4 linked regions of the Callithrix jacchus genome follow. The main gene of each other region encodes a partner of the protein of the gene in region 3 in a complex. Links are inferred from orthologs where the notes say so. Each region holds a gene or a part of one and is shown on either strand. Other genes may lie near its edges.

Region 1 (4,682 bases), on a different chromosome or scaffold from region 3:
TGCAACCTCCGCCTCCTGGGTTCAGGCAATTCTCCTGCCTCAGCCTCCTGAGTAGCTGGGATTACAGGCACACGCCACCATGCCCAGCTAATTTTTTGTATTTTTAGTAGAGACGGGGTTTCACCATGTTGACCAGGATGGTCTTGATCTCTTGACCTCGTGATCCACCTGCTTCGGCCTCCCAAAGTGCTGGGATTACAGGCTTGAGCCACTGCGCCTGGCCGAATCTTTTTTTTTTTTTTTTTAATAGAGACAGGGTTTTGCCATGTTGGTCAGGCTGGTCTTGAACACCTGCCTCAGCCTCCCAAAGTGCTGGGATTACAGGCATGAGCCACCAGGCCTGGCCTCATTTAACAGTTACTGAGCAGCTCCAGTGTGCCAGGTTGTACATGAGGCACTGGGGTATGCTGCTCCTGCCATCATGAGATGTGACCAGCAAGAAAATGGGCAAGTGTGATGGGCACATGAAGAAAATGAAGCTGGGTGGCAGAACAGAGAGGGACTGAAGCAGGTACTTTAGGTTGAGGGGTCAGAGACAACCTCTCTCACAAGGTGCCATTTTACAAGGACCTGAAGGACAAAAAGAACCAGACAGGCAGCTGGGCGCAGTGGCTCACGCCTGTAATCCCAGCACTTTTGGGAGGGCGAGGCAGGTGGATCACAAGGTCAGGAGTTTGAGACCAGCCTGGCCAACATGGTGAAACCCCATCTCTTCTAAAAATACTAAATTAGCCAGGCGTGGTGGTGCATGCCTGTAATCCCAGCTACTCGGGAGGCTGAGGCAGGAGAATCACTTGAACCTGGGAGGCAGAGGTTGTAGTGAGTGGAGATTGTGCCATTGCACTCCAGTCTGGGCAATAGAGTTAGATTTGGTCTCAAAAAAAAAAGAACCAGACAGGCAAAGATCTGGAGGAAGATCATGCCAAGCAGCGAGAACAGTCTATTCAAAGGCTATAGGAGTGGAGCGAGCTCAGGGGGTAGAAGAAACAGAAGGGTCAGGAGCCTGGAGGACAGGGAGCCGGGGAAGAGGCAGTGAGGCTGGCAAGGGCTGGGGCCAAATCCCGTAAGCTTCTTGAGGGCATGGAAAAGCATCTAGAATGAGCCTTTTTTTTTTTTTTGAGAGGGAGTCTCGCTTTGTCACCAGGCTGGAGTGCAGTGGCGCAATCTCAGCTCACTCCAACCTCTGACTCCCTGGTTCAAGTGGTTCTCCTGCCTCTGTTTTCTAAGTAGCTGGGATTATAGGTACAGATCACCATGCCCAGCTAATTTTTGTATTTTTAGTAGAGATGGGGTTTCACCATGTTGGCCAGGATGGTCTTGATCTCCCGACCTCACAATTCTCCCGCCTCGGCCTCCCAAAGTGCTGGGATTACAGGCGTGAGCCACAGCGCCAAGTCAAGCATCCTAATAAATGCTTTTTCCCCTGGGCATGGTGGCTCATGCCTGTAATCCCAGCACTTTGGGAGGCTAAGGAGGGTGAATCACTTTGAGCTCAGGAGTTTGAGATCAGCCTGGCTAACATAGAGAAACCCCATCTCTACAAAAAATATAAAACTTAGGTGGCTGTGTAGTCCCAGCTACTCGGGAGGCTGAGGCTGGAGAATCACTTGAGCCTGGGAAGCAGAGTCAAGGTCTGCAGTGAGTCAAGGTCGCACCACTGTACTCCAACCTGGGTGATAGAGTGAGACCCTGTCTCAAAAAAAAAAATAAATAAATAAAAATAAATAAGGCCAAGTGTGCTGGCTTACGCCTGTATTCTTAGCACTTTGGGATGCCAAGGTGGGCAGATCACTTGAGGTCAGGAGTTCGAGACTAGCCTAGCCAACATAGCAAAACCCTGTCTCTACTAAAAAAAATACAAAAATTGGCCAGGCGCGGTGGCTCACACCTGTAATCCCAGCACTTTGGGAGGCCGAGGCAGGTGGATCACGAGGTCAAGAGATCGAGACCATCCTGGTCAAGAAGGTGAAACCCCGTCTCTACTAAAAATACAAAAAAATTAGCTGGGCATGGTGGTGCGTGCCTGTAGTCCCAGCTACTCGGGAGGCTGAGGCAGGAGAATTGCCTGAACCCAGGAGGTGGAGGTTGCCGTGAGCCGAGATTGTGCCATTGCACTCCAGCCTGGGTAACAAGAGTGAAACTCCGTCTCAAAAAAAAAATACAAAAATTAGCCAGGTGTGGTGGCAGGTGCCTGTAATCCCAGCTACTCAGGAGGCAGGCCAATCATTTGAATCCAGGAGGCAGAGGTTGCAGTGAGCTGAGATTGCACCACTACACTCCAGCCTGAGTGACAGAGTGAGACTCCATCTCAAAACAAACAAACAAACAAAAATAAATAAATGCTTTTTCCTCACCAATAGTAGGTAATGACGTTCTACAAATATTATTCTATTAAACTCTCATAACTGCCCATGACAATGCTTTTTTTTCAGAGTTGAGGTCTTGCTCTGTCACCCAGGCTGGAGCACAATGGTACAACCATAGCTCACTGCAGCCTTGAACTCCTGGGCTCAAGTGATCCTCCCACCTCACCTTTTCAAGTAGCTGGGACTACAGGCAGGGGACACCACACCTGACTGAACCACTCTTTTTATTTTCTTTTCTTTTTTGTTTTTTTTTAAATAAAGACGGGGTTTCACCATGTTGGTCAGGCTGGTCTTGAACTCCTGACCTCAGGTGATCCGCCTGCCTTGGCCTCCAAAGTGCTTGGATTATAGGCGTCAGCCACCATGCCTGGCCGACTCAGCCACTCTTAATCTGATTCTTGGCTCCTCTACTAAAAAGGAATAATCCTTGTGCAAATTACTCTCTAGGCCTCAGTTTCCTTACCTGTAAAATGGAGATAACAAAAATGCCTACCTTATTGGGCTATTGTGAGGGTTTAAAAGGTGAATCCCCAGAAAGCACTTAGAAACCACAGGAAGGAATCGAGGTTCACTATAATATCAGCAAGCAATCCACACTGGCTTTATGAATGAAGACACCGAAGTCTAGAAAGGCCAGGTGACTAGGCCAAGGTCACAGGGCAGTTCTGAAGCTGGGGCTGTAACCACTCCATAACATCACATTGTCTTAGGTGTCTCAAGTGACAAGTATCAGGAAAGATGAGTCAAGGGGTGAGAGGAAAGTGAAGGCAGTAAGGTGCTGGGGCCCGAGGACGTTTGAATATGAAGGGTACAAGTGCCACGAAGCCAGGGCTAGGCTCTGGTGCTGTCGCTTGAGAAGGAAGAGGGATGATGCAGCTGTTGATCACCATCCCGGATGTGACTGAGTCACAGTGTCCCCTGGGTTTCACTAGGCTTGCTGGGTCCCAGCTCCCTCCTGACCTGACCCCTAGCCTGGGTACCCAACAGGTCTAATTCTTTGGTACGAATGCCTGGCTTCCCCGTCTGCATGTTCTGCTATCCTCTGCTCTGGTGGTCTTCTTCAGATCTTCTGTCACTGTCTTACAACCTGTATGACCTTGTGTTTGTTGGGGGTTGGTGAAGTGACAGAAACCAAGATTGGGGCCTGAGGTTTGGCATGGGAAGGACCCTGGAGGTGGGACAGAAAGGAAAGGACCATGCTGGCTGCTCTCCATGAGCCCCTGGGTGGGTTCTTCATGCTCCCCATAGGGCCCCGTGTGGTCCCCATGAAAGGAGCTCAAGAGTCCATTACCTTCAAGGCGAGTGTTGGGCTGAACGATGAGCTTCCGAGATTCCTTACGCAGCAATACTGTGTCCCGGAGGGTGAGGAAGCACTCGGGGGGCGCATCAGTGACCGCTGCATACCCCTCATACAGGGCCCGGCCTCCAGCCACATCCCCTGTGGACTTCAGCACCTGTGGGAGGATGGAGTAAGTGTCTAGGATGGGCTCTGCCACAGGCCATAGCTGATTGTGCTCAGCCCTGGACAGTCTGTGCTATGGTTTCAAGGTGTCCCCTCCAAAATTCTGGTGTTGAAACTTATGGTTAAGTTTCAACCTAACCATTAAGGCTTCTTCCTCATGAATGGGATTAAGGCCCTTATAAAAGAGGCTTCAGGCTTAGTGTGGCAGCTCACACCTGTAATCTTAGTACTTTGGGAGGCAGAGGTGGGGGAACAGTGAGCCCAGGAGTTTGAGACCAGCCTGGGCAACATGGAAAGACCCTATCTCTATTAAAAAAAAAAAAAGAAAAGAAAAAAGAAAAAGGCTGGCTATGGTGGCTCATGCCTGCGATCCTGGTACTTATGGAGGCTGAGGTGAGAGGACTGCTTGAGCTCAGGAGTTTGAGACCAGCCTGGACCACATAGTGAGACCTTGTCTCATCTCTAAATAAAAAGAAAAGAAAAAAAGAATAAGGAAAACAGGCTTCATGCCCGTTTGGCCCTATTGCCATTTTGCCTTCCACTCTGTGAGGCCATAGCATTCCTCCCATTCCTCTCCTCCAAAGATTTTGGCAACGAGGTATCATCCTGGATAGAAGGGGAGAGCAGCCTTCACCAGACAAGAAAACTAGCTGGTGCCTTGATCGTGGACTTCCCCACCTCTAGAACTGTCAGAAATACATTTCTGTTCCTTATAAATCACCCAGCCTCTGGTATTTTTTTGTGTTACAACAGCACAAAACGGACTACGACACTCTGCAAAGTGCTGGGCCCTGTCACTTACAGGCGGTGTAACCTTGGACAAGTCACGAAACCACTCTGAGCTGTTATCTCTA
Region 2 (4,037 bases), on a different chromosome or scaffold from region 3:
GTATCTCCTTCAGTCTACAAGCCAACCCAACAGCTCTCACACTGCCTCGAAGTGCAGATGAGACCGAGGCTGGGGTATGTGGGTCCTCTGTCTAAGAAACTGACACCAGGCCTACTGGATTCCAGGATTCCAGCCTGCGGAGCTGGCCTAGGTGTCCTTTGGAGGTGATTCCCAGCTACCCGTCCGGCTGTTCTCACCTTCTGTCCCTCCCCTCAGCCTTGGATGTTCCACTGGGCGTTGTGGGGCAGAGGCTGAAGGGAGCCTGCCACAGTCTGCCTCCATTTGTCAAGAAATGCCCACTGGGGCCAATGTGTGCATGGAGCTGCTTGGGTCCCAGGCCTTCTCAGAGTTGGCTCTGACCGCCTTCTGCCCCAGGCGATGTGGAGGGCACAGACCCTCCTTTATGAAACTGGCAAAGCTGTCCCCACCCCCCATGGCTTCCGTGCTCCTCAGCCCAGCCCCTCCCTGTGTGCTAAACAACCCTGTGGTGGCTCACACCTGTAATCCCAGCACTTTGGGAGGCCACGTGGATCACGAGGTCAGGAATTCGAGACCAGCCTGACAAACATGGGGAAACCCCGTCTCTACTAAAAATACAAAAATTAGCTGGCATGGTCGCGTGCGCCTGTAATCCCAGCTACTCAGGAGGCTGAAGCAGGAAAACTACTTGAACCCAGGAGGCGGAGGCTGCAATGAGCCGAGATTGAGCCACTGCACTCCAGCCTGGGTGACAGAGTGAGATTCCGTCTCAAAAAAAAAAAGACATGACAACAACCCTTTTACGCATTGGTACCCACTCCCCCACTCCACCCTCCCACCACGGCGCCTGAAGAGGCAGTTGGTGCCGTTGGCCAGTGAGTGGCATCACCAGGTCTGGGACTGCACGCTCGCTGCCTTTACTGCACTGACCTGTTCCTGCAGCGTCCCAGGTGTTCCCGTGCTGCAGGAAGAGGGGCATGGCCAGCACCCTGCGCCCTTGCCTCCTGTTGAGGACCGTGCTTCCTGGAGAGCACTCTCTGTGCTCTGCCGGGCCCTTCTCCCGGCTCACTGTGGGAGCACTGGGTCCACACTGCCCCCCCTCCACCTGTGATGCCTTCCCACCACCTGAAATCTCTAGCTGCCATCAATCAGAACAGGGATTAAAGGAGCCCTGCACGCTTTGGGCTAGCTCAGTCGGTGTCATGGAAAGGAGCCTGCAGCCCTACAGGCAGGCACGGAGGCACTGGCACGGACCACTGCACAGCCAGTGGGCGCGTGTCCCCTCCTGTGCTGGGGCGGGGGTCCCAGCTTCCCTCCACCCAGCCTCCCCAGCCACTGTGCTGACCCACTCCTGCTTTAATTTAGTCCTAAGTCTCGAAACTAATCTAGAAATCCTTTATTTACATTTTCTCTTAGAAAAAATAAAAAGATCTGCTGCCCTGGTGATTCCTCCAATTTGGGGTCTTTTGGGAAAGGTTTGAGGGGGTACAGGGCGGCCTCCCCAGGCCGTCCATTGTCCACCAAGAGCTCCTGCTCATCTGGCCCTGGAGCGGGGCTTCCCTGAGATCAGCCCCGGGGTCCTGGGCAACAGGCATCATGCCAGGCCTGGGGCAGGGTTGGCACAAGGGGCAGGGACTGGGAGGTGCTCGGACAGCCTCATCATCAGCAACTAGACTGGCTCACAGGCAGAGAGAACATGGGCTAGATGCCATGAGTCCCATGCATGGGGCCAGGTAGCTGTGAGGTCTGGAGACTATTTGCTGTTTTCTGTGAACCACCGGAGCACCGCCTCCTTGTTCTCCGTCACCCACTTGATGTTGGCTCTTGTCTTCTCCAGGGCCTGCTCCAGCGCCCGGGTGCCTGAGCCGAAGCCTACATCCTCGTTGTTCTTCTTGAACTGCTCCAACTGCCAGAAAAACAAAGATTCTCAGCCCCGGGCTGGGTCCCAATACAGCCTTGAGGAGGGGCTCTCTCAGGTCTCTGGCTTCCCACTCCCACATGAGAGTCCTCAGAGATGGGAACCACACCATACCCTGTTCCAGGGATAGGGAAGGCGTCCACCTTGCTCCCGGGCAAAGTCCTTGTTAACACAGAGGTTGCAAAATGACAGGCCCTGGCAAAACCTGGCTCAGGAAGGATTCTGGCCTTCATGTTTAATATTTAATTATATCAATCTCATCAAGAGAGTAACGAGGAGCTAATGAAACAGATGCCACATGGAAGCAACCAGCCAAATCGAAAATATGGAAATTTCTAAACCACAAATGATCCAGTTGCTTCAATAAAAGGATCCAGAAGGGAAGAAGTAAAACTACGTGTAGATGACATGTTTGCATATATAAAATTTTAAGGAATCCATTAAAAAAAAAACTATTAGAACTAATGATTTCTGCAAGGTTGTAGGATACAAAAGCAATCCATTAAAAAAAAAAACTATTAGAACTAACTATCTCTACAAGGTTGCAGGATACAAAATCAGGTGTATTCCTATACACTAGAATACACAAAAAAATCAATGGTGAATTTTGAAGCATTGATTGTATGATGTGCAAAGAAAAAGAAAAAAAATTAGTGGTGAAGAGTGACTGCTAGTGAGTACAAGGTTTCTTTTTTTTTTTTTTGAGACGGAGTTTCGCTCTTGTTGCCCAGGCTGGAGTGCAACGGCGCGATCTCGGCTCACCGCAACCTCCACCTTCTGGGTTCAAGCAATTCTCCTGCCTCAGCCTCCCGAGTAGCTGGGACTACAGGCACGCACCACCATGCCCAGCTAATTTTTGTATTTTTAGTAGAGACGGCGTTTCACCATGTTGACCAGGATGGTCTTGATCTCTTGACCTCGTGATCCACCCGCCTCGGCCTCCCAAAGTGCTGGGATTACAGGCATGAGCCACCGTGCCCGGCCACAAGATTTCTTTTTAGAGTAATAAAAGTGTTCTGGAATTAAACAGTAGTGATTTTTGTTTGGTTTGGTTTTTTGAGACAGGGTCTTGCTCTGCTGCACAGGCTGGAGTGCAGTGGCACCATCTCAGTAATCCCAGCTACTTGGGAGGCTGAAGCAGGAGAATCTCTTGAACCTGGGAGGCAAGAATGCAGTGAGCCCAGATTGCACTCTGCACTCCAGCCTGGGTGACAGAGCGAGACTTAGTCTAAAAAAAAAAAAAAAAAATGCCTTTATTTTCCATATGAATAAATTATTTAGAGGTAAAATTAGGTAACGTCAGTGATTTGCTTTAAAATTGACTGCCCAGAAAGAGTACTGGCAAAATGCTGGTCACTGTTGAACGTGGGTAATGGACACATGGAGGTTTATTATACCACTCTTTCCTTTTGTGCCTATATAAAAATCCCAAGATGATTTTTTTGTATCGAACTGTTAACATTTCCATAGTCTGGCTACTCAGCTTCCTCTGTAAATGAGGCAGGCCTGGCAGCGGGGAGCCCGTGCTCCCTCAGGCCCACAGTGGGGGAAGAATGCAGGACCTCTCTGGCCTGGGAAGGAAGCCGACGGAGCCCAGGGCTGGGAATGGCTTCTTACCTGCTGCAGCTCATACTCAGTGGAGAAGCGTCGCGTCACTCCCTGGATGAGGTTGGAGAAGGAGAAAGAGCCACCACCGTAACTGCAGGGAGGGAGAGAGGTGGACCGTGAGGGAGGCCAGGACCTACAGGGGCTCCTCACACCTACTGGGGAGGGAGCCATGATCTTAGAAGAGATGAAACGACACGCCCTGCGAGGTCCCTCCAGGATACCAGGACACAGGGGAGTCACAGCATGAATAGACCTGACTGCCCACCTCTGAGCTCCGCTCTCTTCCAGAGAATACTCCCACCGGCCACGTTTTCCTTCCAAGTGGGAAACCCCAGCTTGTCTTTCATTCCTGTCCCCACCCTAGCCCCCAGGCTTGGCTGATTTTTGTCCACTCCTGGACAGTGTCCCCAGCATGTCCCATGCACACAGGCCACCCCTTGGGCCCCAGCCTCGGCACTCACTGTGCCTGACACCCTCTCCACAGACTCACTCGTTAAAGAGCTTCTTCCAGTTGCTCTGGACAAAGTCCCAG
Region 3 (5,515 bases):
GAGGGTGGGCCCTGATCTAATATGACTGTGTCCCCATAAGAGGGGGAGATGAGGACACAGACACACACAGAGGGAGGACCGTGTGAGGAGACGGAGAGAAGACGGCCGTCTACAGGCCAAGGAGGTAGGCCTCAGAGGAAAGCAGCTCTGTGGACAGCTTGATCCTGGGTTTCCGGCCACCGGAGCTGTGAGATAACACATTTCTGTTGTTGAAGGCTCCCAGCCTGTGGTACTTACGGCAGCCCAAGCAGACCAAGACATGCTCGTGCCTGTAGCTGTAAGTTCTATCCCAGAGAGGCAAGTGTGTGCCAGTCAGTAGGTGGAGGCCCACCAACTCCCTGAGATGCTCATTAAATGGCCCTAGGGTGAGGCGTGGGAATGGTTTTGTCATCTCCCTGTGGTCCTCATATACAGCCAGGATTGAGCTGGTTCAGCCCAAAGCCCAAGCATTTCCCACCTGTGTCGACCCCCAAACCAGCTTTCAACCATCCCTGCACAGCGCTATGCCCTGCAGAGCCCCAAAGGCATGCATACCCAGCCTGGCCTGCTCGCTGATAGATTCCTTAGTCTGTGCTGGAACAAGGTGTAGATTAAAAAAAAAAACCACCACCACCAACAACAAAAATCTCGGGTGACTCTGATACATAACCAGGGTTTAGAATCCCTGCCTTAGACATGGGTCCCCAGAGGGGGCCAGGGGAGCTCCGGCACTGTGTTCTCTCAAAGACCTCAGTGCTGTGCTTCAGCCTCAGCTGCTGCAAATAAAAGCAACCCGAGATCCCGGAAGAGAAGGTTCTTGGGTTGACCCTGCTAATTCGTTTCATCTGACTATTCTCAATCAAAGGGATGAACGTTTATTCTGTTGATTCCTTCAATTCTAACAGTTTGGCCAGGTGCGGTGGCTCACACCTGTAATCCCAGCACTTTGGGAGGCTGAGGTGGGCAGATCACAAGGTCAGATGATTGAGACCATCCTGGCTAACACGGTGACACCTCATCTCTACTAAAAAAAATTACAAAAAATTAGCTGAGAGTGGTGGCACATGCCTGTAGTCCCAGCTACTCAGGAGGCTGAGGCAGAAGACTCACTTGAACCCAGGAGGTGGAGGATGCAGTGAGCTGAGACGCGCTGCTGCACTCCCACCTGGGGGACAAAGCAAGACTCTGTCTCAAAACAAACAAACAAAAACCAGTTCTAACAATTTGTACCACGTCTCACTCATTTCTTGTGTGGGGGGGTGCTGCAATATCATCACTTGTTAGCCTTTTCTGTCCCCACAGGGCCAGGCCGGGCTTCCTTGGAGCTGTGGCATGTCATCACTGACTCAAGGTCACCGTGATGCCTAGATTTTTCTGCTTTACCTAAGCACATCCAGTCATTCTTCTTACACTGGCCGCTGGCTTCCCTCACCCAGACTGGTAACCAGCACCTGCCTTCAACATGGTGCATCTGCTGACATGCCTGATGTGTTTTAGTCTGCTCCAGTCATTCAGTTGCCAAAGAGACTTTGACTTCTGACCTCAGCTATCATCTCACCCCCATCCCCATGTATTTGACTCCATCCACTGTTCTCGGGAAGAGCCATGCGACATGGAAAAACAGAACAGAAAACTCTCCCTGTTCCGAGCAGGCCTTTCTGTGCAGAGAAGCCTCAGTTGTCAGTTCACACCTAATCTAGACAGTCCCATCAAATCGGATCATCAGGGGAAAGCTGTGGGAACCGACTGCTGGGAAGTCCTGCCTGACAAGCACCGAGGGTTCCAGGGTTTGGATGGTGCGGGTCAGTGCCGCCACTCACTGTGCTGCTCCTGAGCAGGCACCGTCTCCCGAGATGCAATTCCATGGGCCATTTTTGAGGCAGAGACTGCTGTTTGTTCTCAGTTGTGATCTGTGGCTGCTCCCTAGGCTGGTTCCAAGTCTGCACGCAGCCCAGTCCCGGGAGCCAAGGGCCTGACACCCTCGCCCTGAGTGCCCCTCCGCCTTCTCCCCTCCTGCCCCTGCCCCTTCACCAGCTCCCACCCCTTCTATGTCCCTGCACTTCTCCCGGGCTGAATGCTAAAGGTGAGGATGGCAGCTCCCCCTCCCGTGGTGCCTGTCATTTCCGGGGCACTGTTCTTATATCAACCCCTCTGACCTCAACACAGTCCTCACCTTCCCTGAGGTTTCCTTGATGCTGTATTTCACCCTGCAGCTTTCCCCACCACGCCGGGCACTCTCAGCTCTCTCATCCTGCTCCCCTTTTCTCTTTTGATAACCCTCTGTACCGTGTAGTTACGCACTTATTCTGTCCAGCGTCTTTGCTCTGATGTGAATGAGCCGGGGGAGCAGGGTTCTCACTGTCATGTTTACTGATACAGCCCACATTCCCGGGATGGTCCCTGGGACTTAGTACATCCTGGAGAAGTAGTTAATGCATTGCTTCATGCTGTTTTGCAGAGGAAGAGAGGTCAAAGTCTCTTCCCAGCTGTTCAAAGTCACACAGCTGGGAAGAGACAGAACTAGGACTCTGACCCAGGCCCCCTGACTCTGTCATCCACAAGCTTAAGCACCAATCTTTGCCGTCCTCGAATAAAATTAGAATCTGCCTTTTAGCTTATCCCAAAGTTTAGAAAGCACTTTCACACTATATTTGCTCTCTTCAGCTCTACCAGAGCCCCTAGGGAGGGCGCCCGGGCATCATGATTAGTCCCATTTTACAGGCGGGCAAATCTAGGTTGACGGAGACTGCGACCAACCTGATGACACACAGTCAGGCAGTCTCAAGGGAGGGGTACAGTGACCACTCTGGGGATCCCAGCTGGGGGCTGACCGAGCCTGGCCCTTCCCTCCAGCCCCGTTTCCTGCACAAGCCCTGATGTTCCTTCTGATGGCAAGAGGAGCCAGTGGACTCTTGGGCATGGTAACTCTGCTCCTGTGCCAGTCTGCTCCGTCCCTGAGGACCCCAGCTCTTCTCAGTGGAAGCAGGAAGACCTGACCTTCTTGTCCTATTGCTAAGGAGGAGCAGCTCCCCAATAAGACCCAGGGTGGGCACTGAGTAGGGGAAGCCCATGTCCTGGTGACTGGTCTTATGGAGGGGGGGGAGGTGCTTCAGGCATCACCCGTGCCCCCCGCCGGACTTCTGGCCTGCCACTCAGTTACATCTGAGAGAGACAAGGCCGAGGAGCTGAGAAGGGCCCCTGGCTTACCTTCTGCTGTAGTCTCTGGAACAAGGGCAGCTTCTTCTCCTGGCTGGGCCACGAGGCCCTATTTATATCTGAGGGGTGGGGATGGAGCCGTTCCCAAGCTGTCTGTGCACAGGCTGGAGTGGGGGTTACATCATTTGGCCAGACCACAGGCTGGCCGCAAGGACAGACGCCAGGAAGCGGCGCTCACACCGGGACCTCTTCCAGGAAGCCTTAGTGATCGATGCGCAGTTTCACTGCTGAACAGAGTGAGCTAGTACAGGGTCGAGTTACACATTTACCGAAGTTTGCAGGAGTGGAGGCCAAGGTTACCAGAAATGGGAGCATTTCCCTAGGTGTGTGACAGCCTGAGGACAGCCGCCCAGGCCTTCTGACCCAGCCCTAAGAGACGCGCCCCTGAGAGGCCACAGGGACATGCAGACCAGAGTGCCAAGGGCAAAGGGCAGGGAGAGTTGTGCTCAGGCACCATGGGGGCCACTTCTGACCCCACTGCTCGTTCATGGGTTGTATGACCTTGAGCTATTCCAGCCATTTGACGCCTACCCCATGCAAAGGCCTCAAATAGACACTGGGAAAAACACGCAAGCAAGTGAAAAGTGCCTTCTAGAAGCTTCCAACATAGCTGGAAGACTGTTAAACACCAACAATAGCACAGCCAGATTAAAAGACACCAACAAAACGCCTTCAGGATGCAGGAAGCCTTCACTGGTGAGAGCTGGGGAGGGGCCAGCAAGAGATGTTGCTGGAGCTGCACCTGGAGAACAAGTTGGTCTGACTCGGAAGCTACAGAAGGGCTTTTCTGAGGCAGAGGCTTGAGTGGCACTCACCAACAGGAGGGAGAGCGTGGGTGGGGTGCGTGGGGGAATACAGGCGGGCCTGGGTGCTGGACAGGAGGCTGGAGGAGGAGAGACCTGGCCAAACGGCTGCTGCCACCTGGCCACAGTGGCCATGAGGTTCTGCAGTCACTGTCACATTTCCTGATGAGCCTCCGGGACCAAGGACTTTAGGCCACACTCTCAAGGAGCTGGGGTTGACACACATGGAGAAACCTGCTCCTCACTGAGATCAGGGGCCAGGTGCGGTGGTCCACATTTGTAATCCAAGTACTTTGGAAAACCAAGGCAGAAAGATCACTTGAGGCCAGGAGTTTGAGACCAGCCTAGGCAACATAGCAAGACCCCCATCTGTATAAAAAATAAAACTAGCTGGATGCAATGGCATGCACTGATTGTCCTAGCTGCTTGGGAGGCTGGGGCAGGAGGATCACTTGAGCCTAGAAGTTTGAGGCTGTAGTGAGCTATGCTCATGCCACTGCACTCCAGCCTAGATGACAAAGTGAGACCCTGTCTCTTAAAAAGGACCCTTGTGGACCTCAGGCTGTGTGTGTCTTCTACTGGCTGTTCATTTGTATTCCTTATAATAAACCAGTAAATGTAAATAAAAAGTTTCCTTGATTTTTGTGAGCCATTCTAATAAAACATGAGGAAGCGGTCATGGAAACCTCTGATTTGTAGCCAAGCCAGACAGAAGTGTGGGTAACCTGGGGACCAACTACTCAAAATTGATGTCTGAAGTTGGGAGCAGTCTTGTACTGAGCCCTTGACCCGCAGGGACTGCACTAACCCCAGGCAACTAATATTGGAATTGAACTGTAGAAAACCCAGTGGGTGTCTGAAGAGTTGGAGAATTGGTCAGTATTGGAAAATCCTCCACTCATTTGGTTTCACAAATGTGAGTAGAGAAACAGTTGTTTTTTTTTTAGGGAGGAAAATGCATCAGGATATAGTTCAAGTCCTGTGAGTGGAGACATTTTCTCCCTGAGGAGAGAAGAGAGGACAGAAATCCAAAAGTGGGGGGAGGGAAAGAAGTCGGGGAGGAGGGGTCCAAGGGACAGTGCAAAAAAGAGATGCTGTTCTGGAAGCCAAGGAGGAGAGTTTTGCAAAGTGAGGAGGAGTTTGGGGCTGAACCAGGTCTTTGAGGCAGTGTGTCATGATGGCTTAAAGCCACTGGTGCTCAGATGCCTCTCCCAAGATCCTTCACAGCCAGTCATTTCCCAGGAGGTCACTGGTGTGCTGCAGAGTGGCTTCAGGAAGCATGCAGGAGAGGTCAGGCTGAGGGCACGGAAGAGATGCAGGCACATTGAGTTGTGAGCTCCTCTTTAAAGAAATGCAGTATTGAAAGGAAGAGAAGGGGCTGGGAAACTGAAACTAGACAGCAGGAAGAGTTAATATTACGCAGTTGCTACATGCGAGGTGCGTAAATCTTCTCAACATGTCTGCACCATGTTTCACTATACCCATCTTCTAGGCAGAGAAACTGAGGCCCAGAGAGG
Region 4 (4,923 bases), about 12 Mb from region 3:
CCACTGAGGCCGTGAGTGGAGGAAGGAAGGTACTGTCGCCCTCCACTGCTTCTCCCCAGGTCCCCCTCCCTTCTCTGTTCCCCAGGCTGGACAGAGCAGGCAGAGAGTAAATGGTGGCTGTGCTTAAGAAGTGGCTGCATCGGAAAGAGGGCAGGATCCCCCTTCCCCACCCACCCCAACCCCAGTGATAACAGCAATTTTTGGAGCCTGGGGAGTGTTGAGGATTTCTAACCCCTTCATTGGAATCTGCCAGAGGCCAGTCCTGATGAGGTTGATATAGTGGAAATTCCCTTCATAATGCTGTGGGTCACTGCCTCCCAGCACAATCTGTCCTCCCAGCGACTGGGAATTCCTAAAAGAAAGATCAGAAACTCTTGGAAACCCATAACTTCCAGGACCCAGGGACTCAGGCAATCGGGGAGAGTTGGGCAAGGGTGCAGGGCAGGACAGAGGGCTCTAGGGCAGAGGCATATGTGACAGCCAGCCAGCGCGGACTGCTGCTGGGGAGCACGCAGGCCCTACTGCTTCTCTGCCTATCTTGCCCCTCCCCAAGCCCAACCAGAGGGTGTTCCAGGGTAGTCCAGCTGTGCCCCAAAAAGCATCCCCAAAGAGGTCACAGAAAAGGTGCAGGTCCAAGGAGAGCGAGCAGATTGAACAAGACACAAATGGACGCCCCTCGCTCGGGGGTTGGGTTGCTGCTGATTGAGCAGTGCATGGGAGGGGACCCTGGGGAGGATGTTGGGTGTGGGATGGGTGGGGGGTATGGAGAGAGCTGGGAGGAGGGACAGAGAACTTCAGGATCTAGTGGAGGCTGGGCTTGCTGATTCGAGCTGTGGGCCAGTGGTGTGTGCGATTCTAGGTCAGGTTCTCAGGGAATACTGGAAGGTCACAGCCATGTGGGGATTCTTTCTCCTTACTCGGAATCTCTGCAGAGAAAGAGACAGCGGAAAGGACGCTTCATTTTATGCAAGCCTCATCAGCCCTGCTGTTTGGCAGGGTGGGTGTCATGTACTCTCTTTGCTCTCCAGGCAATGGAGTCACCAAGAGGTGAAGTCTCCTGCCTGAAGTTACCAAGGCCATGAGTGAACAAGTGTGGCGCTGGAGCCAGACCCCTGGTGCCAGTCTGGAGCTGATTCCCCTCGTCTTCCTTTCCTCCACGTTGCACTTGGCTCAGGGACTACTATAGGCCTGTTCTCCAGGGCATGCATGTGTGTGGGATGTATTTTTCCAGAATTCATACTAGAATTCACACATGCACAATGTGTGCATGGGTGCGTAGGTGTCCATATGTTATTTTGTGCAACTGCAGACTGCTTGTGTTTCTACAAATTCGGAACGATGCATATGTGCCAGCACAACTTCCCTCCTGCTCCTCTCCCAACACTTTAGGATCTCTCCAGGTGTTCCCTCCTTCCCATCCCAAGATGAAGGAAGAGGCCGGCCCTCTCCTCTGAAAGCCTGGCTTCTTCCTGTCTGCTGGATCCTCCTCTCTTCCATGACCTCCAATTCTGGTGCCCCCACTTAGCTCCTCCTCTTTCTACATTTTTTATCTCTTTCTTTCCATTGGCTTCTTCCTCCACCTACGGGCATCACTCGAGCGTCCTCTAGCATTTTCAAACACCCACCCTTCCTCTCCTGCTCTGGATCTCACCCCACACACCACCCCCATTCCCTTCACTGTTGAATTTCCCAGGGCAGCCTACATCTCATGACCTCCACTTCCTGACACCCACATCTGCCTCTTAACTGCTTGCCATCTGGCCGTGTCCCCACCTCCTCTAAAACGCTCTTCTGAAGACCACCCCAACTGCAGAGCCACCAATTGGCTTTTTCTCAAGGCCTCCCTTTCCATCACTAAACCAGAGACTCCTCTCCATTCACTCTGAGATGTCTCTGGACTCCAGTCCTCTCTGCTATTCTTTTTTTTTTTTTTTTTTGAGATGGAGCCTCACTCTGTTGCCCAGGCTGGAGCACCGTGGTGTGATCTCAGCTCACTGCAACCTCTGCCTCACCTCAAGCGATTCTTCTGCCTCAGCCTCCTGAGTAGCTGGGACTACAGATGTGTGCGACCACACTTGGCTAATTTTTGTATTTTCAGTAGAGATGGGGCTTCACCATATTGGCCAGGCTGCTCTCAAACTCCCGAACTTGTGATCCACCCACCTCAGCCTCCCAAAGTGCTGGGATTACAGGAATGAGCCACTGAGCCTGACCTCCTCTCCTCTATTCTTTTTGCCACTGGCCTTGTGTTCTCACCCTTGTGATTTTTTTTTTTTTTGAGATTGGAGCTCACTCTGTTGCCTTAGCTGGAGTGCAGTGGCACAATCACTGCTCACTGCAGCCTTAACTCCTGGGGTCAAGTGATCCTCTCACCTTGGCCTCCCCAAAGTGCTGGGATTCAATCGTGAGCCACTGCTCCCAGCCCCTCTTATCTCCAACTCATGCCATCTGCCTAAACCCAGCAGTTTGGAGTAAAACCCAACCCTGTGCAAGAGCTGACAACAGCTTCCCCAAGGCTGGCTGAGCTGCATATAAGCTCAGCCTAGAACTGAAAAGCATCCATGGTTTTCAGCAGCACACTCGCTGCCTGCCTGTGACACTCATTACGTTGGAATATGTCTTGTCTTCCTCATTAGCCTGTAAGCGCTATGTGGGTAGAGGAGTACGGATTCTGCCTTGATCACTATGTTCACTGCTGTACCCCCAGAGCCTACCACAGGGCTTGGCACACAGCATTTACTGAACTGGTGAGTGAGCAAACAAGCAAATGAGGGATCTAATGGATGACTGAAGTGGGCTGTCTCTGTGTGGGAGGAGCCATGGCCCTCACAGGCAGGGTTCCAGGTCACAGAAACACCTTATTTTCCATCACCCCCACCTGGCATCTCCTCTTCCTCCAGAGTGGTACCGTCTATTAGAATGTCCTGCCGGCCCGGTTCAAGCCTGTAATCCCAGCACTTTGGGAGGCAGAGGCAGGTGGATCACGAGGTCAAGAGATCGAGACCATCCTGGTCAACATGGTGAAACCCCGTCTCTACTAAAGATACAAAACATTAGCTGGCATGGTGGTGTGTGCCTGTAATCCCAGCTACTCAGGAGGCTGAGGCAGGAGAATTGCCTCAACCCAGGAGGCGGAGGTTGCGGTGAGCCGAGATCGCACCATTGCACTCCAGCCTGGGTAACAAGAGCGAAACTCCATCTCAAAAAATAAATAAATAAATAGAATGTCCTGCCATGCTGGGAATGTTCTCTATCTGCATCGTCCAAGACCGTAGTTACCAGCCACCATGGCTGCCAAGCATTTGACATGTGGCTAGTGCAACTAAGAGGCACCTGTTGAATGCTTAATTGATGCTTAACTGTACCTAATAAATTCACGTTTCAGTCGTGGCTTCCATATTTGCTAATGCAGCTCTAGATACTGACTGGCTGTCACCTACTCACAAACAATTCTGGCCCAGGCTCCCTTTTCACTCCCCAGCTCTTCTTCCCTCTCCTCCCCCACCTCAGCCCCTGGTGTCCCTGGAGTCCCTGGGGTCCCGGTCCCCACCTGTTGTAGTAGAAAGAGAAGACGTCCTCTTTTAGCAGCCCTTGGGAGATGATGTTGTCGAAGAGAGGAGTAACCTTGCCAATGGCCTGTTCACTGAAGCCCATGCCCACAACCCCATCGAACTCGGCCAGCATGAAGGGTAAGGCGGGCATCTCCGTGACCTCTCCAAACGTCTGCGTCACCGTGATTCCACCCACCTGTGGGAGGAAGGACCAGAGGAGACCAAGCCCACTGCCCACTCCTTGGCCAGAGTCTGGTCTGGGCTTCTACACTAGGGATCCCAGGGGCACACATGCTCCAGGGTACAGAAATCAGGATAAGAGTATTTCCTAGACTCTGCACGCACACACTCTGTGCCAATACACATCTCTGCTGCGGAACCCAGAGAGAGCTGGAGTTGACCAGGGACTGGACAGCAAAGGTTGAGAGGGTGGTAAAGCTGCCAAATCTCCCCTCCCCTTCCCCAGTGGTCTAGCTTTCATGCCCGGCCGTACTGGGTCTTGGCATTCTCCCTTATCATGGGCGAAGACTTTCTCCAGCACAACCAAGCTTGCCCTTCTTCCTCCTTTATACCTGAGTTCACAGAAAAAGGGAAGGAGGCAGGAATCACCCGGATTTCCTCTCAGGTCCCATGTGTACCCCTCCCCTAAGTGACAGAGCAGGGGCTGAGAAACTCCAGCATGAGGAAAGGGTCAGACATGGGCCAAATGAAAAAGAAAAGCAGGTCTTGACCTAATTCCCAAGGTCAACCTCAAGTGCAACCTTAAAACCTATGCCAGACCCTAAAACTCACCCTGCCCCTGCCTCTGCCCCTGGATTTCAGTCTAAGGTGTAGCTAAGAGCCCAGTCAGAGCTGGTGAACTTGGACAAGTGACTTGACTGCAGCCGTGGGGCTCAGGACAAGCCCTGCGTTAGATTAAAGTTAAGTTAGATGCAAAAGCCTCCATAAGTCACCCAACGGTGAGCCCGCAGCCCAGGCTTGCTCCCCCATAGGTACTGCTATTTTGCAGCTCCAGTCAGATGCGGCAGAGCACGGTGTTCCTTAGCTCCCCAGGCTTCAAGTGGGCTGCAGTGCACCTTCCCCCAGGTGTGGGCCCTGGAGGGTCAGGAGAGGCCTGGGAACAGAAGGGGTAGGGGGCAGATGACCTATGGCGGCCCCACTTACAGTGATGACGTCCTGGCTCAGAAAGCCACTGACTGTTCCTGTTGAATAGCGGAGGGTAAGTTCCGTCCCATTGTGCTTATAGCTGGAGGAATCCGAAGCATCGAAGAGCTTGTGATACACTGGCAGGGGAACGCAGGCTCGGGTTTGTCCAAGAGTGGCCCAGACAGGGGGACTCAGAGGCAGGGTGCATTGTGGGTATGGCTGGTGT

The links. Proteins that work in one complex are often made in the same cells at the same time.
Region 1: the proteins of AGT (region 3) and DPP3 are in contact, whole or in part, in a crystal structure (PDB 5E2Q), measured with the Homo sapiens proteins. The link is inferred for Callithrix jacchus from reciprocal best matches to the Homo sapiens genes AGT and DPP3. Residues at the interface, in NP_001369746.2 of Homo sapiens: Asp25, Arg26, Val27, Tyr28, Ile29, His30, Pro31, Phe32; in NP_005691.2 of Homo sapiens: Phe109, Glu316, Tyr318, Glu329, Phe381, Gly385, Ile386, Pro387, Ala388, Gly389, Ile390, Asn391, Ile392, Asn394, Arg399, Val412, Leu413, Val415, Ala416, Phe443, Val447, His450, His455, Glu507, Glu508, Asn545, Arg548, Leu552, Glu555, Phe556.
Region 2: the proteins of AGT (region 3) and ANPEP are in contact, whole or in part, in a crystal structure (PDB 4FYS), measured with the Homo sapiens proteins. The link is inferred for Callithrix jacchus from reciprocal best matches to the Homo sapiens genes AGT and ANPEP. Residues at the interface, in NP_001369746.2 of Homo sapiens: Val27, Tyr28, Ile29, His30, Pro31, Phe32; in NP_001141.2 of Homo sapiens: Gln211, Gln213, Ala351, Gly352, Ala353, Met354, Glu355, Arg381, Val385, His388, Glu389, His392, Glu411, Glu418, Asn438, Arg442, Phe472, Tyr477, Ile864, Phe896, Ser897, Asn900, Gln903, Ala904, Arg907.
Region 4: the proteins of AGT (region 3) and REN are in contact, whole or in part, in a crystal structure (PDB 6I3F), measured with the Homo sapiens proteins. The link is inferred for Callithrix jacchus from reciprocal best matches to the Homo sapiens genes AGT and REN. Residues at the interface, in NP_001369746.2 of Homo sapiens: Asp25, Tyr28, Ile29, His30, Pro31, Phe32, His33, Leu34, Val35, Ile36, His37, Asn38, Glu39, Lys91, Leu92, Ala95, Met96, Met99, Leu100, Phe103, Arg107, Arg148, Ala151, Ile152, Gly154, Gln353, Gln354, Asn355, Asn358, Glu391; in NP_000528.1 of Homo sapiens: Tyr81, Met82, Thr84, Gln85, Val102, Asp104, Gly106, Ser107, Asn109, Ser118, Arg119, Leu120, Tyr121, Thr122, Val125, Tyr126, Leu147, Arg148, Tyr149, Ser150, Pro181, Ala182, Leu183, Pro184, Met186, Leu187, Ala188, Glu189, Phe190, Val193.

Annotation. Positions count from the first base shown.
Region 1 is NC_133511.1:123,577,779-123,582,460, reverse strand, and holds part of DPP3 (dipeptidyl peptidase 3), read right to left. Parts: intron 3,821-4,682; coding exon 3,658-3,820; intron 1-3,657. UniProt on the Homo sapiens protein: Cleaves and degrades bioactive peptides, including angiotensin, Leu-enkephalin and Met-enkephalin. Also cleaves Arg-Arg-beta-naphthylamide (in vitro).
Region 2 is NC_133507.1:18,950,973-18,955,009, forward strand, and holds the end of ANPEP (aminopeptidase N), read right to left. Parts: coding exon 3,996-4,037; intron 3,597-3,995; coding exon 3,515-3,596; intron 1,886-3,514; coding exon 1,733-1,885; 3' UTR 1,361-1,732; downstream 1-1,360. UniProt on the Homo sapiens protein: Broad specificity aminopeptidase which plays a role in the final digestion of peptides generated from hydrolysis of proteins by gastric and pancreatic proteases.
Region 3 is NC_133520.1:19,930,959-19,936,473, reverse strand, and holds the start of AGT (angiotensinogen), read right to left. Parts: upstream 3,224-5,515; 5' UTR 3,187-3,223; intron 1-3,186. UniProt on the Homo sapiens protein: Essential component of the renin-angiotensin system (RAS), a potent regulator of blood pressure, body fluid and electrolyte homeostasis.
Region 4 is NC_133520.1:31,434,921-31,439,843, forward strand, and holds part of REN (renin), read right to left. Parts: intron 4,835-4,923; coding exon 4,716-4,834; intron 3,748-4,715; coding exon 3,551-3,747; intron 927-3,550; coding exon 918-926; intron 353-917; coding exon 233-352; intron 1-232. UniProt on the Homo sapiens protein: Renin is a highly specific endopeptidase, whose only known function is to generate angiotensin I from angiotensinogen in the plasma, initiating a cascade of reactions that produce an elevation of blood pressure and increased sodium retention by the kidney.